4 linked regions of the Oreochromis niloticus genome follow. The protein of the gene in region 3 purifies or fractionates together with the protein of the main gene of each other region. This does not show direct contact. Links are inferred from orthologs where the notes say so. Each region holds a gene or a part of one and is shown on either strand. Other genes may lie near its edges.

What was found.
Region 1: the proteins of cops5 (region 3) and asb6 purify together in Homo sapiens (affinity purification with mass spectrometry; 3 studies listed by BioGRID and IntAct, with this or other methods). This does not show direct contact. The link is inferred for Oreochromis niloticus from reciprocal best matches to the Homo sapiens genes COPS5 and ASB6.
Region 2: the proteins of cops5 (region 3) and dcaf11 purify together in Homo sapiens (affinity purification with mass spectrometry; 6 studies listed by BioGRID and IntAct, with this or other methods). This does not show direct contact. The link is inferred for Oreochromis niloticus from reciprocal best matches to the Homo sapiens genes COPS5 and DCAF11.
Region 4: the proteins of cops5 (region 3) and klhl15 purify together in Homo sapiens (affinity purification with mass spectrometry; 3 studies listed by BioGRID and IntAct, with this or other methods). This does not show direct contact. The link is inferred for Oreochromis niloticus from reciprocal best matches to the Homo sapiens genes COPS5 and KLHL15.

Annotation. Positions count from the first base shown.
Region 1 is NC_031977.2:11,038,980-11,045,913, forward strand, and holds the start of asb6 (ankyrin repeat and SOCS box protein 6), read left to right. Parts: upstream 1-3,922; 5' UTR 3,923-4,073; exon of another isoform or gene 4,074-4,129; intron 4,130-4,445; 5' UTR 4,446-4,475; coding exon 4,476-4,585; intron 4,586-4,703; coding exon 4,704-4,879; intron 4,880-6,934. UniProt on the Homo sapiens protein: Probable substrate-recognition component of a SCF-like ECS (Elongin-Cullin-SOCS-box protein) E3 ubiquitin-protein ligase complex which mediates the ubiquitination and subsequent proteasomal degradation of target proteins.
Region 2 is NC_031974.2:27,092,386-27,100,395, forward strand, and holds the start of dcaf11 (DDB1- and CUL4-associated factor 11), read left to right. Parts: upstream 1-4,989; 5' UTR 4,990-5,212; intron 5,213-5,498; 5' UTR 5,499-5,512; coding exon 5,513-5,700; exon of another isoform or gene 5,701-5,798; intron 5,799-5,879; exon of another isoform or gene 5,880-6,833; intron 6,834-6,841; coding exon 6,842-6,969; intron 6,970-7,536; coding exon 7,537-7,655; intron 7,656-7,772; coding exon 7,773-7,837; intron 7,838-8,010. Other genes in the region: thtpa (thiamine-triphosphatase), read left to right, coding at 186-665, 766-866. UniProt on the Homo sapiens protein: May function as a substrate receptor for CUL4-DDB1 E3 ubiquitin-protein ligase complex.
Region 3 is NC_031974.2:19,440,067-19,447,192, reverse strand, and holds the start of cops5 (COP9 signalosome complex subunit 5), read left to right. Parts: upstream 1-4,111; 5' UTR 4,112-4,287; coding exon 4,288-4,424; intron 4,425-4,679; coding exon 4,680-4,914; intron 4,915-5,649; coding exon 5,650-5,778; intron 5,779-6,180; coding exon 6,181-6,246; intron 6,247-6,492; coding exon 6,493-6,578; intron 6,579-6,718; coding exon 6,719-6,830; intron 6,831-7,126. Other genes in the region: cspp1a (centrosome and spindle pole-associated protein 1), read right to left, coding at 1-173, 410-511, 1,052-1,132, 2,729-2,826, 2,941-2,986. UniProt on the Homo sapiens protein: Probable protease subunit of the COP9 signalosome complex (CSN), a complex involved in various cellular and developmental processes.
Region 4 is NC_031974.2:5,867,002-5,874,694, forward strand, and holds the start of klhl15 (kelch-like protein 15), read right to left. Parts: upstream 3,001-7,693; 5' UTR 2,806-3,000; coding exon 2,745-2,805; intron 1,702-2,744; coding exon 1,614-1,701; intron 995-1,613; exon of another isoform or gene 776-994; intron 267-775; exon of another isoform or gene 178-266; coding exon of another isoform or gene 158-177; intron 1-157. Other genes in the region: eif2s3 (eukaryotic translation initiation factor 2 subunit 3), read left to right, coding at 6,081-6,149, 7,193-7,256, 7,334-7,461. UniProt on the Homo sapiens protein: Substrate-specific adapter for CUL3 E3 ubiquitin-protein ligase complex.

The sequences.
Region 1 (6,934 bases), on a different chromosome or scaffold from region 3:
ATAATAACAGGTCTAGGGTGCAGTTTGTGTGCCGATGCTGCTCTGCTGCCACCTAAAGGCAGAATTTGTATCAACAGTTATTTAGACAGCAATCAAACAGTACTCTAAACCTAAACATCTTCAAAATAATAAAGTCACCCTTGAGTTATGTACAATGCTCAAAAAATGAAAGGACCGCTTTTTAATCAGAGTAAAGCATTGAGTCAGTTAAACTGCTGGGATATTGATCTGGGCAGTTAAGTAGCATAGGGGGTTGTTAATCAGTTTCAGCCGCTTTAGTGTTAATGAAATTAATACCAGGTGCACTAGAAGGACAACAATGAACCATCCCCCCAAAAATGAGTAGTTTTACTGATGATGTCAGGGACATTTTTTCTCTTCTCATCTTTTCTGCCTGTTTTTTCACTAATTTTGCATTTGGTGAGGATCAGTGTCACTATTGATAACACAAGGTGATACCTGGACCCTACAGAGGTCCAACTCCTCCAGGGTGGCACATCAATACATGCCACTGCCAGAATGTTTGCTGTGTCTCCCAGCACAGTATTGAGAGCGTGGAGAATATTCCAGGAGACAGGCTATTACTCTGGGAGCGCTGGACAGGGTCATAGAAGGTCCTTAACCCATCAACAGGAGCGGTATGTGCTGCTTTGTGCAAGGAGGAGCAGGAAGAGCACTGCCAAAGCTACAAAATGACCTCCAAAAGTCCGGTGTTATGAATGTCTCTTACCAGACAATCAGAAACAGACTTTATGTAGGTTGGCCTGAGATCTCAACATCCTCTGGTGGGCCCTGTGCTCACTTTCTGGAACTCTGGTGCCCAGCTGGCGGGTCCACCGGTGTCATCCTAAGCACATGTGACAGATGTGTAAGGGTCTGGAAAAGCTGTGGAAAGCATTATGCTGCCTGTGACATCGTTCAGCATGATTGGGCTCATTGTCAGACCCTGCATTGGTGCAGTGCGCCTTGGGTTCCTCCTGGTGCATGACAATGCCCAGACTCATGTGACAAGAGTATGCAGGCATATTCTGGAGGATGAAGGAACTGATACCACTGACTGGCCGTCACACCTCTCATACAACACCTCTCATACTCTGGTCCGTCTGACACTGCCAGGTTGAACCTCAGACTGTTCAGGAGCTCAGTGATGATCTGGTCCAGATCTGGGAGGAGATCCCCCAGGACACAATCCACAATCTCTTTAGAAGCATGCTCAGATGTTGCCAAGCATGTGAGGGCCATAAAAACTACTGAGTACCATTTTGAGTTGCTGCAATGAAATTCAGCAAAATGAAATTTTCGCTTTGGGTTTTTTTTGGGTTGTGTTTGAGTTCAGCCCTCTGTAGGTTGATCATTTTCATTTCCCTCAAACGCTAACAGACTACCCAGTCAATGTCAGTGTAGCTATCCAGCATGATTTGTTTCCCACTGAGATCTAATGTGATTTCAAACTGTTCATTTAATTTTTTTTAGCTGTGTATTTGTTCATTAATTTTAACATATTAATCAAAAATATTTACTTTCCCTGTTTGTTTGTTTTTATTTAAAACTACAAAAAGAATATGCTTGTATAGCTAATTTGTCTTCCTCAGCATTTTTTGCACCATTTTGTAATGGTTTGAGACAGTGTGTCAGCAACAAAAACTGGATTAACATACGTGCAGTCGTTGGGACGGGTGATGTTTAAAGTCAGACACACAAACACATGCGCTAAAAATGACATCCTGTGAGAGAGAAGGCTTTCCTCTGTGGTTCTCAAAGTGAGCCATCTGTCAACAAACTCCGACTCAGCAGGAGGTTGTTTGCTAAACAGGACGAAGGCAACTGTTAACAACCAGATGCTGTCGGCATAATGGAGAAATTGTCACAAATGCGAAAGCTGCTGTCCTGGAGTAATGTGCCATATGGACAAAAGAAAGTGTTTTAGAACTGCTCGTGTTGGTGGGAGAAATATTATGTTGGTCAGTAAGAATATCAAAGGAAACATATGCTAATGCTAATCAGGCACTTGATCGTTGGATGGAAGTTGGTATGGTTTGATAAATACATGACAGTTACCATCAGAAACAAAGACTGATTTGTGACATAAAATAATAAACAAATAGACTGAACTGGACACACATGTTTGAGGAAAATCCTGGAATCTTTCCCAATAGTATTGTCTGTTTGGAAAGGAGTTAAAAAAAGGAAATTGTGCAGCTTTCTAAGTAAACCTTTGCTAAAGTTAAAGTTTATTATCAGAGTCTTAAGGGTGCATATAAAAAAAGTGTACACAGTCACCATGCACCATCACTCATTAATTAATGAACTGAGCATTTTGGGCACTGCCAGCGTTGTTTTAAAAAGCAGGGGTTTAACTGACTGAGAAATGGCAGGAAGGTGCATGTCCGTATGATACAGGCTTGTCAATCACAAGGTAGGTCTGCACTAAAACACAGCATGCTTTATCCTCATTTTGATTCTACTTGGAGCCATAATTGAAAATAACAATAATAATAATGATAATAGAAATCAACATCATGCTGCAATCAATTAAATCTACAATCAAAAACCGAGCCTGTGGCTTATCAGAGCTCATAGACGAGGTACTTTTAAAGTCTCATTACTTGGCAGTGACCCTAAAGTTTTGAAGAATTATTCAAAATAATTACAATAGTCACCGGGATACAAAAACATTTTTGGATCCGTTACAGTTAATTAAAAATTGTTGCTAATATTGACCCAAAGTAAGAAGGTCCCTCTTGGAAGTTCTGCTTCAGTCACAATGGCTGCTGTTGCAAGAGTTTTCTCTTTAGGACTGAGCAGCCTGTCTTTCCCTTCCAATATCTCTGTTAGTTTTCCAGCAGACTTCCTTACAGTCATACTTGTATGTTTTTATTTTTTGCACTTGCTGATTGTTTTATACCACTGGTGGTAACTGGTTGTATTTGTTGCCCTCTTCACGAGATACCTTTTGAAAAGGATATTTTTAATGTCAATAACACCGGATAAATTGGCATAAAAAAATCTACAGTTTCTACCTGTGACAGGAATGTTATTTCTACCACAAAATAACTCAATATCATTCTTGAAAAATATATTTGACAGATCATAAGTCAACAACAAAAGCATTTTACTTAAAGCTACAATGTGTAAATCATCACCAATAGATGTCAGTATGTTGGAGACCGCAGTCAACTGAATTCTGTTTTCTTACCCCTCAAAGTTCAAGTGCTTAATACTTGCTACAGTTACATCTATAGTGATTATATGCTGTCAGTATTTAATCAAGCTGTTAATAATAAGAGGGAAAGTTGTGATTTTTAGTACACTCAAGCCTAACCATAGCTCGAACATTGCTAACCAGCTGTTCTTACTGTTTAGTCAGCTTGTCCTGAGACAGGTGGGTTGCATGTCTAATCTGCTGACAATAAGTAATTGCAACCATATCAGGAGATGAGGCTTGAGGTGAGGAGGAAAAGGATGAATTAAAAATGAGGGTGCATGGTGGAAGAAACAATGACAGTAATAAGGAGATGAGGAAATTATAAATGAGGAGATGTGCAAAATATAAATGTTAAATAATCATACACAGTTTGAAATCACACAGTTTGTGATTATCAAATTAAAAGTGACTTAAAAGTGACTTATAAGACATACTATGTATGTGGTTGATCTTTAGCCACATACATAAAAAGCTATTAGGTGGAAAAGCCATGTCCGTGTCTGCAGCTGTATTAAAGATGGATGGTTTCCAGAAACCAGCGCCTGCTCCTATGTAGTTATAATTGATTATAATGAAAACGCCTCAGATTGCGGGAAGGCCTGATTATACACTAATTAACCTTTAAATACCCGAAATCACTATTTGGCATTTAAATTCTCAATAAATGTCTATGTTTCAATAACTGAAGTGGTGCAGTGTGTTTGCTTAGTTACTCATTTTTGATTGAAGGACACGGACTCGAAAGAGGAACCTTGTTTAGGCTTGTATTTTAAATGGGAATGAAAACAGCGTCGGACGGATGCTGGCGTGAGGAAAGCTTCCTGTTTTGAAGGGAGTCTGCTCTGAGTGACTTTCCTCTCTTATAAAAGTAATTTCGCTAAGACATTTATTTATAATTTAGCAAGTTAAGAAGTGATACATTTGGTAAGTCATGCTGTCATTGACTGCGACACTTTTGTCGCCATTTTTATAACATAACTGTCGTTGCGGTTAGCGTATGTTAGACAAACGGTCAGCTAACGTTAACTGCACGGGTCCAGCTAACTAATCGGTATTAGGAGTAAATATTATTTTATATGAAGGATTTTAAAACCACTGCGTTAGCCTGTTACTGTGACGTGTCACCCACGATATGAATACTTTTGTCAGCTGTACTCAGGAGATAAACTTTGATATCTGCGTTGCGTTCTCTGTTAGACTGACACACCCTCAGCACACAGCATTTCTTTTATGCTTTTAGGAGCTAACCTAGGATCACCGAGGCAGAGCCATGCCTTTCCTCCATGGATTTCGCAGGATAATTTATGAGTATCAGCCGCTGGTAGATGCTGTCATGTGTGTTATTGGACTGGAAGAACGAGATGACATTGGCGAGGAAAGGTAAACCTGGCTATTCGGTTACAGTCCTCTTTTGGCAGTGCTACACTGCCGTAATTAATTGTGTATCAGATAACACACAAAACATTACATATAAGGTGCTTCTTTCTCCTCCTGTCAGGAGTTCTGAGGAAGAATCCGCAATTTCTAGGTCTCTGGTGGAGCTTCTGGAGCAAGAATCCCAGTCAGAGGTGTTTGTGGAGGGGATCAGCTATGCCTTGTTCAAAATGGCAGAGCGGGGTCTGGTGCAGCCAGCAAAAATCCTCCTACGCTACGGAGCTGATCTCAACTTTGAAGGTTAGTAACAGTTTGGGGTGTGTTTTAGATAATGTGAATGTTTTTAACTTGACACTGTATACACATTTGTTTATTAAACCTTGCCAAAGAAAGAGAGAGATCATTTTATGACTGTGCTTAATGTCATTTTTTTTCCTCCTATGATCCAGTAGTCTTGTTGCCAGTCTTGTTGCCAGTCTGGTTCATACAACATTTAAGTGACAGTTGCTCATGCATTTTAGCAACATGCAACTTAATGAGCAAGGCAGAAAGAGACTGATTCATGGCTTTTTTTCCCCGAAAACCCAACTTTACCAGCACCCATACCACAGTGAAATTCTGGTTACCCAAAAATATCATAACATCTATGCTGGCTATAGGCTAGAGAATTGTGCATTTAAACAGGATTCCACATTCACTGGCACAAAGACAGTACGATAGTAAACACAAGCCCGATGTTGGCTATTTGCACATGTATCTTTATTGCCAATAATGATAGCTGATAAATAAAAATTTAAAAAAGCAGAGAAAGAAACACTCTTCAACCAAGATGTGATTGTTGATTTTGAATCACTTATCCACCAGAGGGCACTCTGCAACTTCATTTTTAGAGCACTACAGACACAACAATGAGTGCGTTGTCACCATAAATCATCATATATCAATATCGGTCTTAAAAATCCTATGTTGGTCCGGCTCTAATCAAGCGTATGTACCAACAAGAGCAAGCAAGCTGCTACAATACAAAATCTGTAGGATGAGAAAACAAATTGGAATAGTTTTCTTGGCAGTTTAAAGTTCATTCAGTGTCTTGCCATTCTAGCAAAATTTTCCGCAGCAGTTCCAATATCAGAATCAGAATCGGTATACTTTATTAATCCCTAAGGAAATTATATGGGTTACAGTTGCTCCAGTATAAATAACAGAAACAGACTAGACTATTTAACAATACGGTATGTTACGGATTTAAGAAATAGCACAATATATACAAATCACTAAATAATAAAAATCAAGGATTGACAGAGGTGATTATAAATAAATATCACAAATGTTGACAGGAATATTACAGAGTAGAAAGAGCGTGTGCAAAAAGAATGTAACTGTTGCAGTGTTTACAGTGTATTAGATGGAGGAGTTGTATAGGGAGATGGCCATGGGCAGGAATGATTTCCTGTGTCATTCAGTGATCATGATATGTCATATCATGATACGTGTACTTCAGAACATCAGATTCAGGTCCGCTCAGTCTTTTGTCAGTGAGCGTATTACTAAGATGTGTGTTCAAGCATCATAAGTGAGCTGATGTAGGCCCAGACTGCAGGAAGGGACATCACTAGGAGATGGCAGATGTCATTAGCAGCAGCCTCTGTGGTTCAAGCTCCAGGTCACGATGCTGGCAGAACTGCATTTTTGCAGCAGTCTCCACTGCTCTGGATAGTTTACCTTCTGTTTTCAAAAGCCTGGGGAAAAAAAAGTGTGTGTGTCATTTCTGTGCTACTGATTTGGTTGCTGACACAAAATAACCAAATCCAACACTCCCAATGTGCCGGTAAGCAACAGAAATGTTTGTTAGGCAATGAACTATAGCCAGTTATTTGCCTTCAAACATATTTGTATCACGTTATTAATGACAGGGACGCCTTAAAAATTCTTTCATAGGAATGGCCATATGGGTGGCACACTAAACACAATTTCCCGTTTTTTTTTATTATGCTGTTGTTAAATATTGGATACTTGAAAAATATGGCAAAAAAGAGATAAAGAAAAGAATTATATGCCTACGTAATTTCCTGCTATTAAAGTTGTTATCCCTGAAAATGGGTGAATATGAAAAACAAATACGCAAATTTTGGGGGGTGGCCAGCCCCCCCCGGCCCAATAGCACATTTGTTTCTTGCAACTGAAATTTTGCAAGCTGTCGCAAATGATATTCAAAGTGCTGAATACTGTTTTTGGCTTTCTAATATTCATCTCATTCCTTCCTGGGATAGTTCATTACAGATTACGTTTAATGACTTATACAAACATGAGACCACTGCCATTCTTCTACACGTAACAAGTAACACATGCATAATG
Region 2 (8,010 bases), about 7.7 Mb from region 3:
GAATTATAAACGGCCACTGAAAGGCTTTTCCAGCATTTAATGGCACTAATTGCTGTGGTTGTTGTGTAACTGTAGTGACACTAGCCATCTGTCTTTGGTTAATGATGAAGTTTAATTATCTGTATCAGCCTTTTAAAATTTTATTTATTGAATTATCTATTTTTAAAAATCCCTTTTTCCATCAGCAGTTTGCATTGGCCAACGGCAGATTCACGACCAGTATTTCGACACTCCTGAGTTTCACCTGACTTTGAGGGACATGTGGCTGCGTAAACGTAAGGGATGCTGGGAGCTCAAGTGCCCAACAGCAGAATCACAGAGCGGGAAGCAGGGTGAAGCAGCAGCAGCACTGTGCACCCGTTACAAGGAGATAACCAGCCTGCCTGAAATTCACCTGAGAGTCAAAGAGGTCATAAAAGAGGACAGAGAGTCAGAGGCAGGCTTCTCACATGAAGATGAGTCGTGGGTGAGCAAACTGAACCTGGTGTGCTTTGCAGAGTTTACAACAGCACGGCGCTCGTTCACTTTAAAGGAGGAGGGCGTGCAGGTCGATCTGGACCAGGCTGACTTTGGCTATCATGTGGGGGAGATAGAAGTCCTTGTACCAGAGGGAGGAGATGAGCAGGCTGCGCTGGAGAAGATCAGAAAAACGGCGGAAAAGCTGGGTATACGCTCTCAAACATTTAACACATCCGCTGCCTTATACTGATTATTATTAAGCGTACCTGTAAAGTAGTGAAGAATTTTTTCTCTTTTTCTTCACAGGGCTTACTGGAGATCAGCGAGTTAAAGGAAAAATGGATGTTTACCTCAAAAGAAATCACCCTGAGCACTATGCAAAACTGCTGAGTGAACACATCCTCTAAGAGATCATACTGCATCTGTACAAATATGGGAACAAACAAAAGGTCTTATTTACTGTAAAAGCTAATATTCTGTAATAAAGTATAGATTTATAAACTCAATAGACTCTAAACTGTAAAGCCTACTGGATGGTCCATGGCTGCTGTCATTGCTATGTGAACTTTTTGTATGCGAGGTTATGTTTTAGGGGCTTTTGGGAGGGGTTTGGCCATACAATCAGAGTTTATATTAATTTATCGCTAATGATGACAATGTTTTCTTACTGAGAGTAAAGATGTGTACTCACAAAGAGGCTCAAAGAGGAAGAACTGGTTTGTGACATGTGGCAGAGGATCTTCTGATTGCTCGGCACACGTTTTTAGAGTGATGAAACGTCCCATTGTCTTTTCACAGAAACTTTCTTCACGGTGTTTAAATTTGAATGTCTCAATAAAAACATTTGCACTTGAATGTTCTACATAGCGTTCAGACTTTGACCTGTTACATGTAGATACATATCTTTTGACATATGCCATGCTTTGCAAGCAGTCACCTTTAGGCGAGACAGTTTTTGGAGGCACTGATTAGTTTGTCACGTCCACGTCATTATTAAGTAACTATTAAGTAATTACACAATAATACATGAATAACTACAGTTGATTGTGTGTATGTGGGCGGAGGGTGCAGGTATGTTTGTATTCCTGTCTGTATGAGAACATTTACTGACATTAATCCATTCCCCAACCTCTTAATCCTAAAATAAACTATCAGGTGCCAAACCCTACCCAAATCCTAGTTTTAACCCTTAAACCCAAATTATAACCCCAACAAAACAAAAGCCTCCTGTGCACAGCCATGTCTCAAAAGGGCACAATCACACACATTTAGTGAGTGTATCCTTATAGCTGCACTCCTTCCAAAACAGTAACTTCCCTGCATGTTGCACGTTCAGGTCACATCTGTAAGTTGGAGCTATGGATAAATAGGCTCCAAATAGCCAGTGTTAGATCCAATTTAAGACCCAGGTTGCACAGAACAGAGTGAGGACTGCACCCTTTCAACTAAAAAAAACATGTCCTGCCACTTAAGTCAAAATAGCTATTGCGCAGCATCTTGATTGTCCCAGAAATATTTCCTCCTTCAACCTATTGTTTACGTTTACGGTTACATGCATTGTTAGAGTTATTATCATCTTAAATCTGATCATGAGAAAATGTTTGCCTGCTGCAGAGACACACAAGGGGCTGCACTGAGCGTGTTGTTCACGGTGGGAAAAAAAAAAGTGCTCGAGTGATGTCATTAAAAAGCTTCCTCGCCTCATGACTACCTGTTTGTTTTCTTCAAAAAGATTTTTTTTGTCATGATGTGTACCAGAGATTAGATAGAAATCAGTCAGTTCAGTGATGGTTACAGAAAAAGGAGGCAAACAAACAGTTAGAGGACAAACTGTGACCTTAAGAACCTTGCATTTTAAGTTTGGCTCTTTAAGCTCCATCAGTGCTGTCTGTTAAGGACAACATTTCTAATAGTCCTGTGCGTCTACTTAATGGTGATATATTCATTAGCAAGAGGAAAACACTGTATATTTTAAGCTGCAAAAAAAAATACATGTTCTTGCACGTCAGCTTGTATCAATGATAAATTACCAGAGTCATGCATGGATAATCCTCTTTCATTTTGGGTCATGTCCAGTTAGGTGGAGGCGATGGAGGAGGATTCTCAGAGGTGTAGACTGGTTCTCCTGCTGATTAGGTCTCCGCACCTGTTGTAGGCAGATTCACCTGGACACCTGGAATTCACACCACACACACCATGGCTTCTGCTGTGCACAGACAGCTGGCCCTGTTCACAGGGAGACTGCACAGGAGGCCAACTTCATGCAGGAGTTGTTACACAGGGAGTCCTGTGTCACGCAGAATGTAGATGATCCCTTCATTTAAAAGAAAACAAAAAAAAACATTGTCTACGAATCAGACTGGACAGACTGGCGACCTGTCCAGGGTGTACCCCGCCTCTCGCCCTATGACAGCTGGGATAGGCTCCAGCGCCCCCCGCGACCCTGAAAAGGATAAGCGGAAGCGAATGGATGGATGGATGGATGGATGGATGGATGTCTACGAATCAGACATGCAGTGGATCGATTCCCAGTTATAAAAGTATCCTTGAGCAAGTACTAGCCCTTTGAGTTTCCCCTGATGCATCCATCAGAGTGTGAGTGTGTGAGAATGTTAGCTAAAGGTGTGTAGGTATAGATGAAAGCACTGCATGACGCTGTATGTGACTGGGTGAATTAGATTTATTATACAAAGCACTTTGAGGGCTCAAACTGAGTAGAAAGGTGCTTTATAAGCACCAGTCCTGTTATCAGGGGCGGATCTGGTGGGGGGGAGGGCTTTGTTTTCTTAGAAGAGATAACAATATAATAAATTTATATATATTTATATATACTTTTTGTGGATATTTTGTTTACTCCATTTACAGAGGTATGTGCTACCCTGTGTAGATCTCTTGCTCCTCCTTTGCCCTCACATGTAAAATTTTCTAGATCCGTCGCTGCCTGTTACCATTTACAGCTTCCATGTACAGTAATCACAAGAGAAGTCTGAGTGTTTCAAACTGCAACAACACTTATTTAATGGACACCACGGCCCATAAGTCAGGACGTCATACTTGTAGCAAAAGAAAAACAGAGTAAACCTAAGGCAGTCTGCATACGCTTACAATGTGATAGATGTTGGAGCAGAAGTTTATTAGCCAGACATCAAAACCAAGAGTAAATTCTGCTGAGGTTGTTTGCATTTTATATCTGGTGAGAAATTATGAGTGGTTCACTTCTATGGGCAGTTTAGAGTCACCAATCATCATCTAAAACAATAACTCTTAAACCAGTGATCATTAATAATGGATGATTCCTAACAATATTACAGCCTGTATCCGAGGCTGTTTTGTGCCTATAAATGTGCCTTCTCAGATATAACTTGTATGATATCCACTGGTGTTTGGTAAATAATAAAATAAATATATTGTAAAACATGTAACACATGAAATTAGTCAGTTTTCAGCCCAAGGCCCATCTGTAAGTGAGAGGCCCTGGATGAGTGGTTCAGCTGTCAGTATGTTGTTTGAATCTTCCTGTACCCTGTCAGCAAATTGTTCTGCGATAAAGAGCTTGCAGACATGTCATGAATTCAGAAGTCACATGTTGTGGGCTTTGATGACTCAGACCTTCTTCTCTTCATATTTACATTTTATTTGTTGTGACACCCTCCGGAACACATTCTAAAATGTAGATTTTAGAGGCGAAGTTAGTTGGGTTTTTGAGCCCCACGTCCACACAGTGGCCCTGGCAGCCCAACCCTGGGGGACTGATAGACTGTTTTGTAGGACCTAAATAACGCATGTGTCAAAAAATAGACGGGTTATTAAATTATAGACCCCCCCGGGCATAGATGACAAACACCTTCTTTACCGTGAGCAACCTCAGACTTGATTCATTATGTGGAGGTGACACAGGATTGAGCAGTACAGCCGTTCACAATAAATAAAATAGATTGCTCAGTGGCACTTTAAGTTGCTTAGCCTGACATGTTATCATTCTTAGTTTCCTTCCACTTTTACTCTGTGCGCTGTTTTCATTTTAGTTTGTTTTTCTTTTTTCGGAAACAACAAAACAGCAGTTTCATGTTCCTGAGAACTTAGGAGGTACTAGCCAGAAAAGTCCAAGTCCATTCATTACGAGCCCCTTCAGTGTACGACTAAAGCCTGATGTTTATCCTTATGTTAAAGTTATGTGACGCCTAGATGGGCTGTACATGCTCTGGACATATAAATATACGAAATACATTAAGAAATATTCTAATTCAATTATATTATATATTACATATAGATTATATTTATTATGTTTCTTCACAAAATAAAATAATAAAATGATAAAATAATATATTTGAGTAAAAATTCCTTGTAGATGGCAAAAGAACAAAACAAACAAAAAACATCTGGTTTATTTTATACTCTAAACTTTATTTAAACCTAGCAATAAATACTTTCATTTTTTGAATAGCTTCATGGTAAATTGTGTCGCTGGCAGCGGCTTATACAACCGGGCTGGTCACGTGACGCCGAAAGGGCAAGCGGGGGGGGCACGCGCAGGGTTTTTTCACACTTTTGTAAACAACATGGCGATTCACGGACTGGCTCTGCTAGCAGACTGATCAAACACTGTGTTCTCAGACCTCCGGCTCTCTAGCTTTGTGAGGGGGTTGTGTTAGACGGTGCGGAAGTTGTACACCGAGCACACGATCCAGTTCGCGGAGAAACGACAAAGAGGTGGACCGACGAGCTGTCAAGAAGATCGTTTGACAGTCCAACGGTAGCCAAATGTTATCGTTAGCATTATTAGCTAGCTCGAACTAAATATTCCCCAAGCATTTTAAACATGACGAGCTAATGTGCAATACACGGATAGTTAGTTTGTACTGAAGGAGTGGAGAGGTTTGCGCCAGTAACTTTAGCTGTTTTAGGTTTAACGCCGTATCCAGCAAACATTATTTCCTAGCTGCTGTGCTTCTCGTCCCTCTCTAAGGTGTCTGGGATCACGTGACGTTGTCAGGTAACCCTGAAATTGTTGTTACACGTCTCGTTATTCTCTCTGGTAGGCCATCTTCAGTCTATGGGCTCACAGTCCAGTTCTGGGATGTCTGGTGGAAGGGGCTCTTCCAGTGGCAACCCAGGAGAGCAGTCTGAAGCGACAGAATCAAACCAGGGCGGCAGCAGCAGCCGAGGCCGCAGGACGGACAGGCAGTCTTCATCAGAGGAGGACGTTGACTTAGCAGAAGTGCTGGCTTACTTACTGAGGAGGTGATTTTCACTGTTAAAAACGCTCAATCTGATACCACCCAGGGCCCAGGTTTGTAGCAGAGGTACTATGGAGCTGTTTTGGTGAAAGTAGGTCATAACTAGCAGAAGTAAAAATGAGCAATTAATACATAAAAACACAAGTGCAATAAAGTCAAAGTCCTTCTAGTAGCAAGTCATACCACTTGGCAGCAATATGCAATGGTGCAGTGCAATACATCCATCCACCACTTGTCTGGGTCATGGAGGCAGCAGTCTTAAGCAAGAGCTCCTCCTTTTAGCCGAGAGACGTAATGGTTATTAAAGATGATGGCACTCAAAGCATTCCACAATTCAAACTGTGGGAGAGTTCTGCAACAGCAAAAATGTTGATAGAAGTAAAACTTGTTGGGGGCAAGGGAAGAAAGCTTTTTATTAACACATGGCTGGTGATTCTGTGTGCGCAGTTTATACGTCCTGCTGACAACTGAAATTAGAATGAGATAATTCTTCAAAATTACTGCCCAGAGGCGTTTCGTGGTGGCATCCAAGTGGTGAGGACTACATGTTTTTGGACTGCCCTGGGGACTTGTAGCATTAGTTCATTACTTTACATTTCTTGAAGTCAGAACTAGGACAGAAGCCTTTATCACATATGTGTGTAGTTGCTGCAGTGAAAATGACTTGTGTGTGGTGAGCGTATCGGGCGCTTATTAAATGACATTTAGAGGCAAATAGAAGTAATGCATGCAGTGTTCTATCTCACTGCCAAAGAGCAAATAATTGAAATGTCACATCACATTCCAGTGCTGCAAAGCTAAGTGGGGGTTAAGGTTTTCCCATTTCAGTTTGATTTAATTGCACTTGGAGAGGCTGGGAATTTTTTTGGATATTCCTCTAATAGTTTCTTTAGTGAACCGTGACATTGGCAGGGCCTGCTCTCGTGACCAGAGGGAACCGAGATCTGCAAGAAAAAACATTTAACATTTCTCACTTCTTTAGCGTTTAAATGTCGTCATTGCTACATGTTGTACAGCTGGACCATTTAGCTTTGGTTTCCACCTATCAAGTCTTTTTTTTTCTTTCTAGTTACATCTTTGCACTAGGGCAATAGATAATTAGATTAATCATAACTGATTAATTGACTGGTTGCTTGCATGTGCAGGGGTCAGGTAAGACTGGTCCATGGCAGTGGAGCCACGGGGCTGCAGCTGGTCCAGTCGTATTCTGACTCTGATGAAGACAGCGATGGGGCCTGGGATGGACGGCTGGGTGACCGCTATAATCCACCAGGTAACCTCCCACTGACACAGGGCAGGAAAATAAGTAGTTTTTTACTTGTTGGTTTACTCTTCATTTATACCCCTAAATGCATCGTTACAATGATCACATAATATGGAAAGCTAACAGATCTATTTAGAGTGCAGCCATTGCAGTGCAGAAATACATATAATTACTTTAGGACGATGTCTTCTCTTTCCAAGTAGTGAAGCAGTGGATGAATGTCAGTAAGGTTTCATTTAGAGACATGAAACCTTACACTAATGTTATTGTCTTGTTTTCTCTGCCATCCCAAAAATGTTATTTATGGAAACTTCAATTCAGTTTTTTATTTTCTAGAACTAGTGAGGCCTAAATACTGTTTCTTCTTCCTTTTGTGTGTTTCTTCTTTTCCTCTCTTTGCATCGTCTGTCAATCAGTGATGGATCAAACATAAAACAATGTTTCAATTGTCAAAAATTTCCATGGATTGTTCTCTCAAATATGTAGGACAGCTAATCGGAGCATGCCTGAAGTTCTGAGAGCTTGTTGTTGAATGTGAGCTCCTACTGAGGCTTGTTCTTTGTGTTCTCCCTTTAGTGGACACCCAACCTGACACACACGAAGTGGACCGGAGTGAGATCCGCACTCAGATCCTGCTGGCCACCGCCTCCTCTTCCTTGAAAGGCTATCGCAGTTTCACTCGCATGCTAGCAGAGGTCAGACCCCAGAAATAAAATCTAAATGGAAAATAATTGCGGCACTGGAGTCGTATTAGTTTTGTTTATAGAGTTCAGTGAAATTATGAAACTGCAAACAAATGTTTTTGTGTGCAGAGAGAAAAAGGCAGATGTAGAGGCTCCAGTTTTTCCCACGGAGAGTGCAGTCGTATCCGTACGCAGTAAGTAACTTTGGAGTATTTAAAATCTAAATTAGAATTAAGTAGCAGTTAGTTTAGCATGACTAAAATCTTGATTGGACCATTGTGCTCTGTTGGAGTGGAGGGATAACTGCACAATTGCTGTGAAAATATACAATGCATTGGACATGAAGAAGACGAAATATTAAAATTGT
Region 3 (7,126 bases):
CTCTGAACTTGATTCCCGATTTCTCCATCGTTGAACACCTCGGTCAGAGTGGAAGCATCTTTCCTCTCGTTGTGAATGGGGACTATGTTTGTGTGGGTATGCTTGTGATGGGATGACAGGGGGGAGGCAGGGGGAGAAATTTTCAAGCCATCTGAAGCCTGAATCTGTCCACGCTGAGAATGAAAATGTGAGGAAGAAATTCAATGTGAAAAAAGATTTACTTTGTAACAGAGTGCTTTTCATTATTTATCTTTCAAGTACTCAGTGAGCTGTAGCTACCTGATAAATGGAGGCATTTCTAGTGATAGAGAATCCTTTAAAGTGTGGTATAAAAATTGCATGGATTATTGCACCAAACACACTAGTGTTATTGTGCACGATCTGCCTATTGAGTCATCAATCTTCTTACCTTGGGACTGACAGAAGATGTTCTCCTCTTTAGCGTTCTGATTTGAGCTTGTTCTTGGAGGAAGAGGTTGTATTCTTTATTTCTCTCCTCTCTCAGTTTTTCCTGCAAGAGAAAACAAAAAGTCAGAGACAAGCAGCCACACCGCTCAGTTAAGCTCATATGACACTTATAATTTAAGAAAATACAAAACTCAAACAATACCATCTTCTATCCAAAGAAGATACATATTCTGCATGCACACATTCAAGATGAAGATGAGGTTAAGGTTATATTATTTCTGAAGGAGCTGGGAATCAAAACAATAAACCTATAAATAATTTCCAATAGGCATTATCACTCAGACTAAGCACTCTCATGATAGCTTAGATGGATGCTTCAAAATCCTACAATAATGGAGTTTTGGGGATTTTTTATTTTGCCTCAATATTTCAAAAATGCTTGCATCAATACTGATTAACATTCAGCTTGTCGTGCACATATAGACACCTGAAATTGCTCTTAACTTTTGTTTGTAAGTTCACGGTTTTATACAAAGAAAATCAGCTGCCATGAAGCGCGCAGCACTGTGCAGTCAGCAGTTTATATCAGTTCTAGCTGAAGAGCTAAAGCTCTACTTTGATGACCGAACGAATGCAGGCACACCTTTACAGATATCCTCTCATCAATCGGTAGTGACACTCCATGAAGTTGTTGTTGAGGCTGTCTACTTTTCAGATCCGTTTTCTGCAGGAAGAATAAGAGATTTGCTGTGTGTCGGCAAATGCAACACAGAGACAACTTAGTTAAACACAGACATAAACTCACCAGCCACTTTGTTAGGTACACCTGTTCAGCTGCTCATTAATACAAATACCAAATCAGCCAATCACATGGCGGCAGCTCATTGCATTTGGGCATGTAGACACGGTGAAGACGATCACCTGAAGCTCAAATCAAGCATCAGAATGGGGAAGGAAGGTAATCTAAGCAACTTGGCATGGTTGCCGGTGCCAGATGGACTGGTCTGAGTATTTCAGAAACTGCTGATCTACTGGGATTTTCCCACACAACCATCTCTGGAATTACAGAGAACAGTCTGAATCCAGGGAACAGTAGTTCTCTGGGTGAAAATGTCTTGTTGATGCCAAAGGTGAGATAAGGGAAGAATAGCAATGATTGCTTCAAACTCATAGGAAACAAACAGTAACTCAAATAACCCTTTGTTATAACCAAGGTATGCAGGAGAGCATCTGTGAACCTTGAAGTGGATAAGCTAAAGCAGATAGTGGTGGTGTAATGGTGTATGAGATGTTTTCTTGGCAAACTTTGGGCCCTTTAGTACCAACTGATGATACTACATATATACAGCCTACATGATTATTGTTGCTGACCATGGCAATCGTTGTGTGACCACAGTATATCCATCTTCCGATCGCTGATTTCAGCAGGAAAATACTCCACCATGTCATAAGCCAAAATCTTGTTCAATCTATGCCACTTAGATTGGCAAAATGGGTCTAATGTGGCGTTAGGAAGGTATACCTAATAAAGTGGCTGGTGAATGTATTTTCGTAACCATTTCTGATATGTCATTCCAGATAAAAACTTCTCGTGTTCCAGTCAATTTTAAGATTAACATTTAAGATTTATTAAGTCTTAAATGTAACACTAATGAAAAAGAAATGTCTAAAATGCACATTTAGGTGTTTTATTCCATTCTGTCAATTGGATATGTATGCAAATTAGCACGTGTTTAATCAGACACCAAATCTTTTAAATAATTCAGCACAGGCTTCAAAAAAATTGCAGTACATAAAATAATTATCTTTCTCATAATTTTCACTTCGGTGGCACTTACATTAAGCAAAGATTTCCAGTTTTATTTAACTTGATATTCTGACTTTAGATTAATTATTTTTCATATACTGTTTAGTCTACTATTTAACAATCTATTACAACAGTGAATGAAAATAACTCAGTAAAAGGTTTTTATTCTAATGCCTTTGTGTGGTGCTCTGTTGTTTATTTCTGTTTTTTTATATTGAGATCGCTTGTTTTGTTTTGGGTTTTTTTTGTTTTTTTTAAACATTTTTTTTAACTGTACAACTTTTACCTCACTAAGCCAGTTTGTCTTGGCATGTTTTTTTTTTTTTTTTTTTTAAATTTTATTTTTAATAAGCTATTCTGATTTATTTAAGACCTTTTCTTATAGGTTATATATAATATTATGCCTGATGTAACAGTAAATTCCTATTGTTTGGGCTAAATTAACTATATATTATATATTATTTTATGTTCAGATTTTAATTTTATTTATTTATTTATTTTGCGTCATCACACCCTGGATATATAGTTTCTGTAGTCCAGCTGGAGCTCCTGCTGAAGTTTCTGCTTCTTCCTTTCATACTCGGTACCCAGCAGATGACTTAAGCCAATACCTGGGAAATACGGCATATATAGAGTAGACTGTGCAATAAAAACAGGAAACTATTCACTAAACACTACAGGCTTAAATAATGCAGCCAATTCACTACTACAGCCTTGTACAGTACCTCTGTCGGGATTGGGGTTTACTCCTAGAGCTGCTGCTGAAGTCATATTTACAGCATTGTGTAATTTGCACCATCTGACCCTGACTGTGGAGAAAAACTCGCTGAAACACCGATTTGTTTATTAACAAGCAACATGTGATTAAAAGAATTGCTTTTTTTTTTTTTTTTTTACTCACCGGTTGATTAGTTTACGCCTATAAACGTTGCTTCGCAAGTCCTTGATCACATATGGCGGGGAGTTTTCTCTTCATGCTTCTCAAAAAAACGTCCCATCGTGATACACAATACACCCAATAAGGCAAACATTGGACTTACAATGGGGTATATAAACATGCGTGTCTATTTTAAGGCTCGGCTGTAACTCTGGCTAGACAAATAAGAAGCCCAAATAAGATGATATATATCAATAATTCTTAAATTTCCACACACAGCTCAAATCTATCCGACCGATCTTTGACAGCGAGCTAAGCCCAAAGCGTCATTCCGTTGCCATGGGCAACCATGACACAAACCTTCTCCTGGGAGAGGCTAGCAAACACATCTAACACAAACATTCAAGAAAATATATCTAATATAGTCCAAATATTAAGTCTTTAATAACTGCAATATTTAACACTAGGATCTGATTTGCTGTTTCTTTTTAATCGTCTTTAAACAACATAAAACCAGGCAAAGTTTATCAACAACATGTTAATAAACTTAACATACTGCTGTTGTCTAAAAATGATACCATCTAGCCTTAACCAGCAGCCCTTTCGGCTATTTAGTAGCTCTTTAACTTACTAGCTGCTGCCTTTTTCCAGAATAGTATTGCCTAATTAATGAATACTAGCTTTAGTTTTATTGACTCATTAAAAACCTCAGCTCCCAGTATAAGTACAATGCCGAGGCTCTAAGAAAAAAGCCCTCACAGATAGATGTAGGTACCTTTCTAAAAAGCGCCGCTAGATGTCAGTGCGTCCCCAGCGGTTAGTTTGACGTCGTCGCAGGACTAAACCATGGCTTCCGTCACAGGGGTAAATATATTTTAATAAGAGTAATAAATACGATAAAAATATGATCAGTGAATGTAATATCATCATATATCATTGTGTTGTAGTGTTAAGAGATGGCTTATAACAAATAAACGCATCAGTGGTAAATATGTGTAATATGAAGACGAACGTCCCCGTCGATTTCACTTTGTTGCGTTGGTATCGCTCACTGTCATGGCTCCTTGAGCGAGTGGCTATCTGCTCCTAAAACGATATCAAAATCTTTCGGGGAGAAATACAGCACTTCTTCCCTTATTTAAAGAAAAAATCGGGGTTTTTGACGGCTCGGGTTTTGCTTGGATACATTATTAACATGGCGGGGAGCAATACGGCTCAGAAAACATGGGAGCTGTCTAACAGCATGCAGGAAGTTCAGAGCATTGATGAAATTTACAAATATGACAAAAAGCAACAACAAGAAATCCTCGCTGCGAAGCCATGGACGAAAGAGTGGGTGCAAAACGACATTGTGGTATTTAGGTTTCTGTCTAAGTATTTAGGTGATTGCTGAGCTGGCGTATTCGTATTACATGTTGTTCGTTGATAGTTTATTGTTAGAACATTAGTGATAGCTTAGCTACAAACTAGCAAACCGGTCTTTATGTCAGTAGCAGTACAGCAAACTGGATGTGTATCTACAATATACGCATTGCTTAATATTATCTAACATCAATGCAAATACATTTGTCATTGTTCACCCTTTAGTCACCACTACTTCAAGTACTGCAAAATCTCAGCTTTGGCCCTGTTGAAGATGGTAATGCATGCCAGGTCTGGAGGAAACCTGGAGGTGATGGGCCTCATGCTGGGAAAGGTGGACGGTGAAACCATGATCATCATGGACAGCTTTGCTTTGCCCGTGGAGGGCACAGAGACCAGAGTCAACGCCCAGGCGGCAGCCTATGAATACATGGCTGCCTATATTGAAAATGCCAAACAGGTGGGACATTGACTTCCACACACATGAAGAGCATCGTGTTTGAGTTATGACTTAGAAAGAAGGAACCGAACTATAGCCTAGATAAAATCAGACTTGATTTCGCTTGAGACATTAACTTAATACTTTCTGTGAATGTCACTGGTTTACAACCATTACTTTTTCTTTTTTTTTTACTTAAAGAAGAGTGTTTCAGCTGATTTAGAACTGTTTTTTTTTTTTTTACTTAATATCAATATGATATTTACAAACTATAAAGGGATTATTTGAAGCCATTACTGTCTTTTTATAGTATTAATATTTTGACAGCCGTATATAACCACATTTGTCTGCCTTTTCCCATGCTGGGTATACGATCACTTACCTCTAACTCATTTTCAAGCACGTTATTGTAGTTAATGTTGCAACCCAAGAAGCAGGAATACAGTATGAATATATTATAAGGCTAATAGGATTTGCACTCTTTTATATTATCTAGAAATCATTGTAAATTTTTGTGTAAATTGTACTATGTAATGAGGTTTCTCCAGTCCCTGTTTAACATACTCTATCCAATACTCTAATGAATTCAAGTGACTACACAAATGTGGAGATTTTTCTTAAAAGAAAAAAGAAAGATAGGAAAATGCTACTTTAGATAAGGATAAAAACTGTAAACTGTGTCAAATACATTAATGTTATTGACATCTTACACTGTCATAAAGAAAATATGATTTTATATTATCTATAATTCCTCAGGTTGGCCGGCTGGAGAATGCGATAGGCTGGTACCACAGTCACCCGGGCTATGGATGCTGGCTGTCAGGCATAGATGTCAGCACCCAGATGCTCAACCAACAGTTTCAGGAGCCTTTTGTGGCTGTTGTGGTAAGATGGGAAATAGTAACCATTTTTATTTTGAAACTAATGGTTTTTGTATTTTTTTAACTGTGACTTCTATTTTCCCACTTTTCAAATGGAGCTTATCCCATATCCCACGTCCCATTAATGTGGGTGTAACTGAGAAGGGGGGAAGATTACTGATGGATGAGTTGTAGATTTGCACGTAGTACTGATGAATATTTTGCTATTACAACCACATATGCTATTTACACTTCATTTGGTTTAGCGGCGCTTAAATGCCAGAGGCATCATGTAATTAAGTGTGTATTTTCAGCACACTGACAGCCCCAGTAAAAAGGCTCCTGGTGGCCACATTTGAGTCGTCCCCAGAGGTTTGTGTGACCCCTGACTCTGTTTTCCTGTTCTACTGTATCTTGCTTCCTATAGATTGATCCCACTCGGACTATTTCTGCAGGGAAAGTCAACCTCGGTGCCTTCAGAACCTACCCGAAGGTAAAGCAAAGACTTTATATAGCAGCAGTCCTCTTTGGTCTTTACTAAAATCACAAAATATCTGCTTTTTTATTCTTCTTGTGCATAGCTATATTTGATCATTTTAGTAGTTTTTATATACTGATGTTATTGTTGTGTATTTATTAAGAATATATTTATAAATTTATTTTCAGTCACTCTGTATTCTTAATTCCTTATTACTGTAGTAATTGCTAGGTTCTTAGTATTTCCTTTTTGGATTTTTAGGGTTACAAACCCCCTGATGAGGGACCCTCAGAATATCAGACTATCCCCCTGAACAAGATTGAAGACTTTGGTGTACACTGTAAACAGTGAGTATTTATATTTGCTACAGTATTGTACCGGATCAAATACTTGTGTAGCATGTACTGTATCACACATTTTTCACTGTTTACTTTATTTTCAGTACTTGCATATGCGCTTCTTTTTTCTCTGTCTCTCTCCTTTTTAGGTATTACGCTTTGGAGGTTACTTACTTTAAGTCCTCCCTTGATAGAAAGCTCCTGGAACTCCTTTGGAATAAATATTGGGTTAATACCTTAAGTTCTTCAAGTCTCCTCACGGTATGTAGGGCATTTCAAAAATCAAAATGTTTGCTATTTGTTTGACATTTTGATTTATGGTTAATTATTACTCTATAACTCATTTAGACATGTGGTCACCAGCTTGTGATGTCATGATTTATTGCTGCTTATTAGCTAAGCGTCCGTGTTTGTTGATTTTAGTAATAAGCTGTACGTGAACTTTTTTCACAATGGAGATAAGTATTAAAGCTGGAGCCGACTCCATGATGCTCCTTTTCCCCCTTGCTGTTCGTTCGAAAGCCTGAAAGCCCCTCATGTAAATTTGCATTGAGGCT
Region 4 (7,693 bases), about 14 Mb from region 3:
AAAGCTTTGCACTTCAGCCGCCGCGCATCAAAAAGCTGTTACTCTGCACTGCAACACACCAGCTGACGGAGAAGAGAGGAAACCCTTTCAAGAACACAAACACACAGAAACTCACATGTGCTCACTGAGAACGTAAACACACACGCAGCACACTCACCTCTGATTGGCCACGGGCATGTCAGAGGGGGTTGTCCGAGCCAATCAGAGGACAGTGCCCCTTGTGTCCAGCAGATGCTAACAAAGTCCCTTTTCTGAGCGTCAATCACCTGGACGACAAAGCCAACAACAATTAAAGCGTGAACTCCTGCAAACTTTCACCAGAAATATGTGGACAAACATGTGTGATTTACAATCATAAATCATCCGTATACTTTTAGTCTCAACAGTCCTTTCAACAGTTTAGTGTTCATATACATGATAAACTCAGTGTGTTTACTCATCATCATTCAAAAAAATATAAGTAAAAGTTGATTGGAGGTAAAATGATGGTGGGATTAAAAGATGAGTCCAGTTTATTACAGCCTGCATTTTGTTTTTGGGGGGAAAATCTTGGACGTTATCCACCTCAGGAACAGGTTGGTATGGAAATCAGTTGTATTTAGGATTCTGTTGATTATCCTTCAAGATTTTGCCGTCAGACTCTGAGAACTTCATGACAATCAATCACGGTACGAGAGCTGCACCTCCTGCTGGTGGCGTCATAAGCTCTTTAAACCCACAGCTAACAGTCGCTACATTAATAATTCGTTTATCGGCCGACTAGCAAGAGCCTCACCTTTTAAAGGTCTAGTTGACTAGTGATGCACATCATGTTTCTTCTTCCTCTGCTCTCAGTTTCATTACGCGTGCACCTCCTCACAGACAGAACAGCAGAAGAGAAATCCCTCCAAACTGATGCTGCTTTCCTTTTAGCTTCCGTGCTACGTCAGCTCTCCCGCTGCTGCTTTTTGGGTCAGAATTTCAGTTCAAATATGAGATTGTGGGTTTTTTTCCCCTATTTGAAGATACAGATGGTAAAAGCTCAGACTCTGGTGTCAGATATAAAGTTATTGTTTTCAAGAGATGAAACCAAAATAACGTCTAAATTTAAAACCACCCAGACTGTAATAAACTGGAATTTAACAACCAAAATAAAAATCTAATTAAACACCAATACTTAAGAAACAAATGAAAATGAGATGTGAAAGAGATTCAAAATATGGGAAGGACAAAGAAAAGATGGGTGACAGGAATGACATAGTGTATGGGAACGAAACGTAGGAAATAACCCATCAAATCAATAATTTTACTTTTATTTCTAGTGACTTACGTTTGGTATTTCAGTTAACTACAAGTATTTTTATTTTTTCATCATCTGTACAAGAAGTGGAAATAAACCTGATACAATAACTTCTATGATTTTTAAAGCCATAAAAATCATCTAAACGTTACTCAACAGAATCATTGATATCATAGCTAAATTTAAGGATCCAAGACTTTAACCTTTGACCCCTCGCCCTTCCCCCTATCACATCCTAAAACTCAGCGGGCCGAAATGAGGCAGATGGTCTAGAGGAGGGCAGAGTGAAGATAAAAATATATATTTATCAAGGAGTTCTGTGTGTTTGACGTACCTTTTGGAGCCCGGGCGAACAATCACAGGCTTGGACGGCTGAGCGCTAAGGGGCCGCTCGCATTTCCTGTGTTTGTGCTTCCCTGGTTCTGACGGGAGAGACAGAAAAAGATGCTCTCAGAGACAAAGAAGGTTTAAATGAAGAGGAAGACACGAGGATACCCATCAAACAGTCCACGGTGCGTTCAGGGGCTTGTAAATCACAGCTCTCATGCACAGAAGAGCTGTAAAACACACATCGTCGGCAGTTTACATGAATATTTAATTTACTGGCTCTTTGGTAATAGTTTCACATGTGACAATTTAAAGGAAAATCCAACGTTAAAGCGACAAGTGATGAACAAATACATTAGTTTATGTGAGAGGCGTTTCTTCTCAACCTGCTCTCCAAGTTAGGTCTCATGTGTGTCCCAGTTTGTGATGTTTTAATTATGAAGATTGAGATGTTTATTATATCAGTGCTTTTGTGAAAATGCCAAATGTCTTCCAGCGCTGAGAAATGAGGATCATGCTAAGCTACTCTAGCGGAGCTGGAAATTTGTGTAAAAGCTAAATTGTTAATGAAAGTTGCGGCTTAATCACTTTGTTTAAGCTTGTTTGGTACTATAGCTGATTAATCCTTTCAGCCCTGCTTTCAGTGAAAACGGGATGTAGACAACATAAAGCAGCTCGCTGAATCGGTCTAGCCTCGTTTTGATCTTTCTCACCCGGTGGCTGACCTCACCTGGGTCTGCCTCCAGGTGAAAAAGAAAACATCCGCACACTTGTCACAAAAATAAGCCTCCCGCTAACGTGTTAAATCTGCACCAACACGGGGTTTAAAGTGCCCTTGGTTTCCGTGTTTACTTCTTCAAACAGCAGCGGGGGGACAGCGTGCTCCGAGCCGCGGCTGGAGCTCCAAAACAAAGGCTAACGCTGGCGGATAACGGTCCCCACACTCGGCTGTAAGGACGGAACATGGCGGCGTACATTTGTGGAAGATAAAGGAGGAAACTGTCGCAAACTGAGCGGATATTTCACTCCGTGTTTGTCTAAACTCGCTGTCACGACTCCGAGCTGGAGCTACAGGGGCTCCGACAGCTGCTTAGACCGGCGGAGCCGCTTTAGCTTAGCCTAAATCCAGCCGTCTCACCTCGGCGGTGCGAATCTCCACAACCCCTCTTCGACCAGCCAGCTCTGGCTCCGTCGGACATCAAGTTGCGAGTTCGATTCCGAGATCAAGAAAGCGGGTGGCAGCGTTGCACTGCCATGGTGGCATCAGCGTCCATCTGCCAGGCGAACAGACCCCCTACACGGAGCTAAATTAAACGGGTAAAAAGCCACAGCGGACCACAGGCTCTGCGGACGCCATTTTCTGCACCGGCGTCATTTCCCTTTTGGGCGGAACTGAAGGGCGTAGTGCGGCGCTGCATCAGAGATCGTATATTTACCAAGAGGAATCACTCCAACGAGAAAGAAAAAATCCCTAAACATACCCGGTTTGCGATGATGGCTACTCACTCAAACCAAGCACGAAGAGAAAAAAAGCACAAAAACACGTAAAATGATTTTTTTTTGTTTTTTAAAGAGATGCTAAATTGCCCCAAAGTTATTGAAAAAAACTGCGCTACACACTTTCACATGAATAATGCACTCACATAAATGTACAAATGCCTTGGTCAGTCCTCAATCATGCAGGTAAAGAATTTCCAGAAAGTTCACTTTGTTCATCTGGACGTCGCGTTTTCACTCATCAGCGTGACTTCTTCAGACTAAGCGGACTGCGGGGTTTCCTGATCTCATAATCAGTCCATCTGCATAAGGACTGAAACTTGGTGTCAGTTTCGTCATCGTTAATATGCAAATTGTGACGATCGTTGATCAATGACCATGAGTACCATTCACACTTAATCACAGCGTTTCATCTCATCACACAGAAATCTGTACATACATGTACACCGAATCTGGGCCGTAGGCGAGTTCAGAGCGCCCCTAAAATAACTATATTAACAGTACTAATCGCTTAAATAAGACTTTGTTGTTGTGGCAGAAAGAGCAGTTCTAATTTAATGACACAAATCAGTGATGCAGATTTAAAACATACTTTTACTAAAATGGAGAGAGCAGGAACGAAGACACCAGAGAGAGAGAAAAGAAACAGGCAAGAGTGGACATGTGGTCAAATTCACCAAATTATTCACCAAAAATTAAAAAGCTGTAGCTTCTGTTTTACCAACATACTCTGATCATGATTTCTCACATAACACCACAGCACACTGTTTATAAGTGTTTATAAGCAGTGTGCTGTGGTGTTATCAATTATGGATCCTCAACCTGCTCTTATAATAATTTTTATAGGAATATATTTTTGTTATTTTCTAGGTGAGTGAGGAGGAGAGAGAGGAAAGAGGTTGTACATGAACAGGAGAAATGAGGGAGCAAATAGTGAAGTTGGCTGGAAAAACAAAAGTTATTTTTCACAGAGTAGTTTTTCATGTATTTTGCTGAGGCTTTGTGTGCTTTCCAGTAGGACACTTAAAAAATGCCAGTGGACATTCTAAACAGAACATATTGATATGAATGGTGTTTTACAGGATTTACACTGTCACTCTAAACATGGCTGAACAGGATACCTGCCACTGCACTGATGTGACGGACTACAAATCTATTCTCCACTTGTGAAATCTGGGTACATGATGCTAAGTCTGTATAACAAAGGGAGGGATTGTGTTTCTTTTCTTTAATATAAAACAATTCTATTGTCTATCGTGTACAGGTCTATGTACTGAATAATGCTTCTTTATGCACTTCATGCTGCTGTGGACTGCCTCTATGTGATTAACAGACTGAATCTGCTTTGCCACAAATAGTTTAACTTCTTTTATGACTGAGCCTTTGCCTTGGTTTTGAAAATTAAAGGCTCCACCCGAAAACGGGTGGATCGGATTAAAATCTTTGATTATTCACTCTGAATTATTCTTAGACACAACAATAAGACATCAAACTAACTAACTTACTAACGTACTAACTAACATGTATCCAACTGAACTGAGGTTTGGAAATGTGAAAAGGGCTGATTACATTTGCAAACAGCATATTCCATTAATAATAGTTACAAGGCACTGTCTGCATGAAATTATGATTAGAAGCTGACCCACCTAAAAATTAGAATCCTAGAATCGCCCCTGCTCTGTACTTTCCTGAAAGATAAATGAAAAGTTACCATCGCAACACGATTTTGCTTTTCTAACAATTAAAAAACACGAAGAAGAAAACTTTAATGTAACTTTAAAGTTTGAATGGATGGATTTACCACAAAGATGCTCAAAATTACCTACAAATGCCCCTTCACTGTTGGACAACATCTCCCACCCCATGCATGAGACTGTGACAGCACTGAGCAGCTCCTTCAGTGGGAGACTGCGGCACCCACGGTGTGGGACGGAGAGATTTCGCAGGTCTTTCCTCCCCACTGCTGTCAGACTCCACAACAAAGACTTCAACTGATCTAACACACACATCCACACATGTGCAATAACACTAATGTGCAATAATCTTTTCTGGCATCGTTGTATTTTTACTCAGTTGTATAAAGCATTTGTATTCTATTTTTATCTTATTGTATATTTTATTCTATTTTATTCTACTGTATATAGTATTTTATTTTATTCTATTCTGTACAGTTGTGTACTGTATTTATTCTTATTTTATTTTATTCTAATCTTTGCTTCATAACTTTTGCACTGTCCACTTTCTGCTGTGACAAAACAAATTTCCCACGTGTGGGACTAATAAAGGTTATCTTATCTTATCTTATCTTTACTTTCACCCCGGAAGTGGGTGGTGGTGGGGTCATTAAGTGTACCTGATGTTTTCACAGCCTAAATAATGAGTGAATTATATTTTAACCATAATTGGTATATCCTAACTTTTCCTCACTAAAAATGTTTCCCGAAATCAGGCTTTATAGCGTTTTAATTTTGAACTACTATGAAATAATAGTAACCCTACTCAGGTAGACCAAACAGCCAGAACTACAAAAAGTTAGTTAGATGACGTAAATAAATCGCGACGGTCCGATCACATGGATGAACGTATACTTCTTTCTTTAAAAGGGGACTAAATTTGGGACGCATGACTGTTTCCCTGATGAGCAGCTGTTAATGGGATACGAACAGCAGCAGTGTGGGGTTATTAAACTGGTTTAAATTTACAGCAGAAACTGAGAACCGCTCCGGTTGTTGCATCAGCCCTCGAGAAAGGACCCAACTACATTTTTACTTGGGCGGATCGCTTAAGTTTAAAATTATACCTGGAAATTACCGCTAAAAAAAAAACATACCGCACAACGCTGTAATAAGTTCTTCCAGGCTTCCAGGGAGTGAAATTTATTTTGGCTGAAAACATTTTTAGGCGAAGAGGAGTGCCGGTTTAATCGATTGATCAGGCATTCGGTCGGGCCTCCTTATTCATTCCCTTTTCTTTCAAGATGGCGGGCGACGAGTCAGGCACAACGCTCGGTCAGCCTCACTTGGCCAAACAGGACCTCAGTACTCTGGTAAGTGTCTGTTTATCGTGTTTTACAGCAGTGTGGTTTTAAGTTGGCGGCTGTCGGTGGCCCGTTGTTTCAGTAAAACGGTCACAGAAAGCCGGGAGAATAGTAACGGATACCGGTGCTGCGCCACCCGGCACATGACGCAAGGGCCCAGGCTGGGCGGAAAGCTCAGACCCGTTGCACTTCCAGCACGAATTGCAGCGTTATTTCAGCCATATTTAACACGATTCACACGTTGAAAGACTTACACTTGATATTAATAGATATCAGCGTTATTGAAGCCTGTTTATCCCGGTTTAATTTTAGTTAGCTCCACGGAGTTAGCTCCATCTTTGTTAGAATCTAGAAAATGGTTCTTAATGTTTAGTCCGGCATAAAAACACCTTTATAAGCTTATATCCTTCCTGTTAGTCCAAGCTGTAAAAAGAAACCATACACTCAGCTTGTAAAGCTTTCATTCTAACTCATTTGATTTACATTGTTATAGCTCATATTCTCACCTTTTATATAAATGGAAAATTAGTACCAAAAATGTTGGTCAAAGATGCGACTCTTAGCGTGTTTTTCGTGTTTATACTAAATAACATTAGTCTTTATTCAACATAAGTTCTCGTTAGTTGTGACTTATGAGATGAGAACAAAAACACTACGTGTAGTGCTGCATGTGTCCTACAAGGGAAACAAAACCTTATTGTTTAACTGTAATCAGGGCTTGTGCCATTAAAATAGTCCTGTTTTAGTGCTCTTCACACATTGTAGTCGCTATCAAACTCTTTTATTCCCAGACACAGTCATCACCTGAAACTTTGCTTCTTTAGACACTCCTACAATAAAATTCCTAATGATTTCTGTTATATTGTTGGAAAAGTAGAGTACTTGTGGATTGTTGCAGTTCTGTGTTGCTTTATGAGAACAATCCCGGGTGGTTTTGTTTCTGCCTGTGAGCTGCTGCCCCTCTTTGTTCTTTAGGATTAAGCACACCGCTCACTCTGATGCGGTTGGTCCTGGCATGACGAGTCATTAATCTGCGTTGTTCTCTTTGTCAGGACGTGTCGACCTTGACGCCTCTCTCTCCGGAGATCATCAGCAGACAGGCCACCATCAATATCGGTATGGAAGACAGCTGATCGGATTCGATGTCTCTGTAGGGTTTGATAGGGCTTGACCTCCGTCTTCTTCTCTCTTAGGCACCATCGGTCATGTGGCCCACGGAAAGTCCACAGTAGTGAAAGCTATTTCTGGCGTGCACACCGTCAGGTTCAAGAATGAGCTGGAGAGGAACATCACCATCAAGCTTGGATATGCCAATGCTAAGGTAAGGGAGTGAATTTTCTTAGGTGTTCTTATTATTTTTGCCTATTTTTGGACCTCAGTGTTTTAGATTAAAGAGCAGTGGAAGTTTGTATGTTCAGGATTTACTCTTTCAAACGTGAGCTTTCCCATCTACAGGCTACAAATGCAAACACATTTAACTTTATTGTCAATACAAATTGTTACCACAGGTAACAGAGCATTTACATAAAATGTCTGTGATAAGAGGAAGCCTC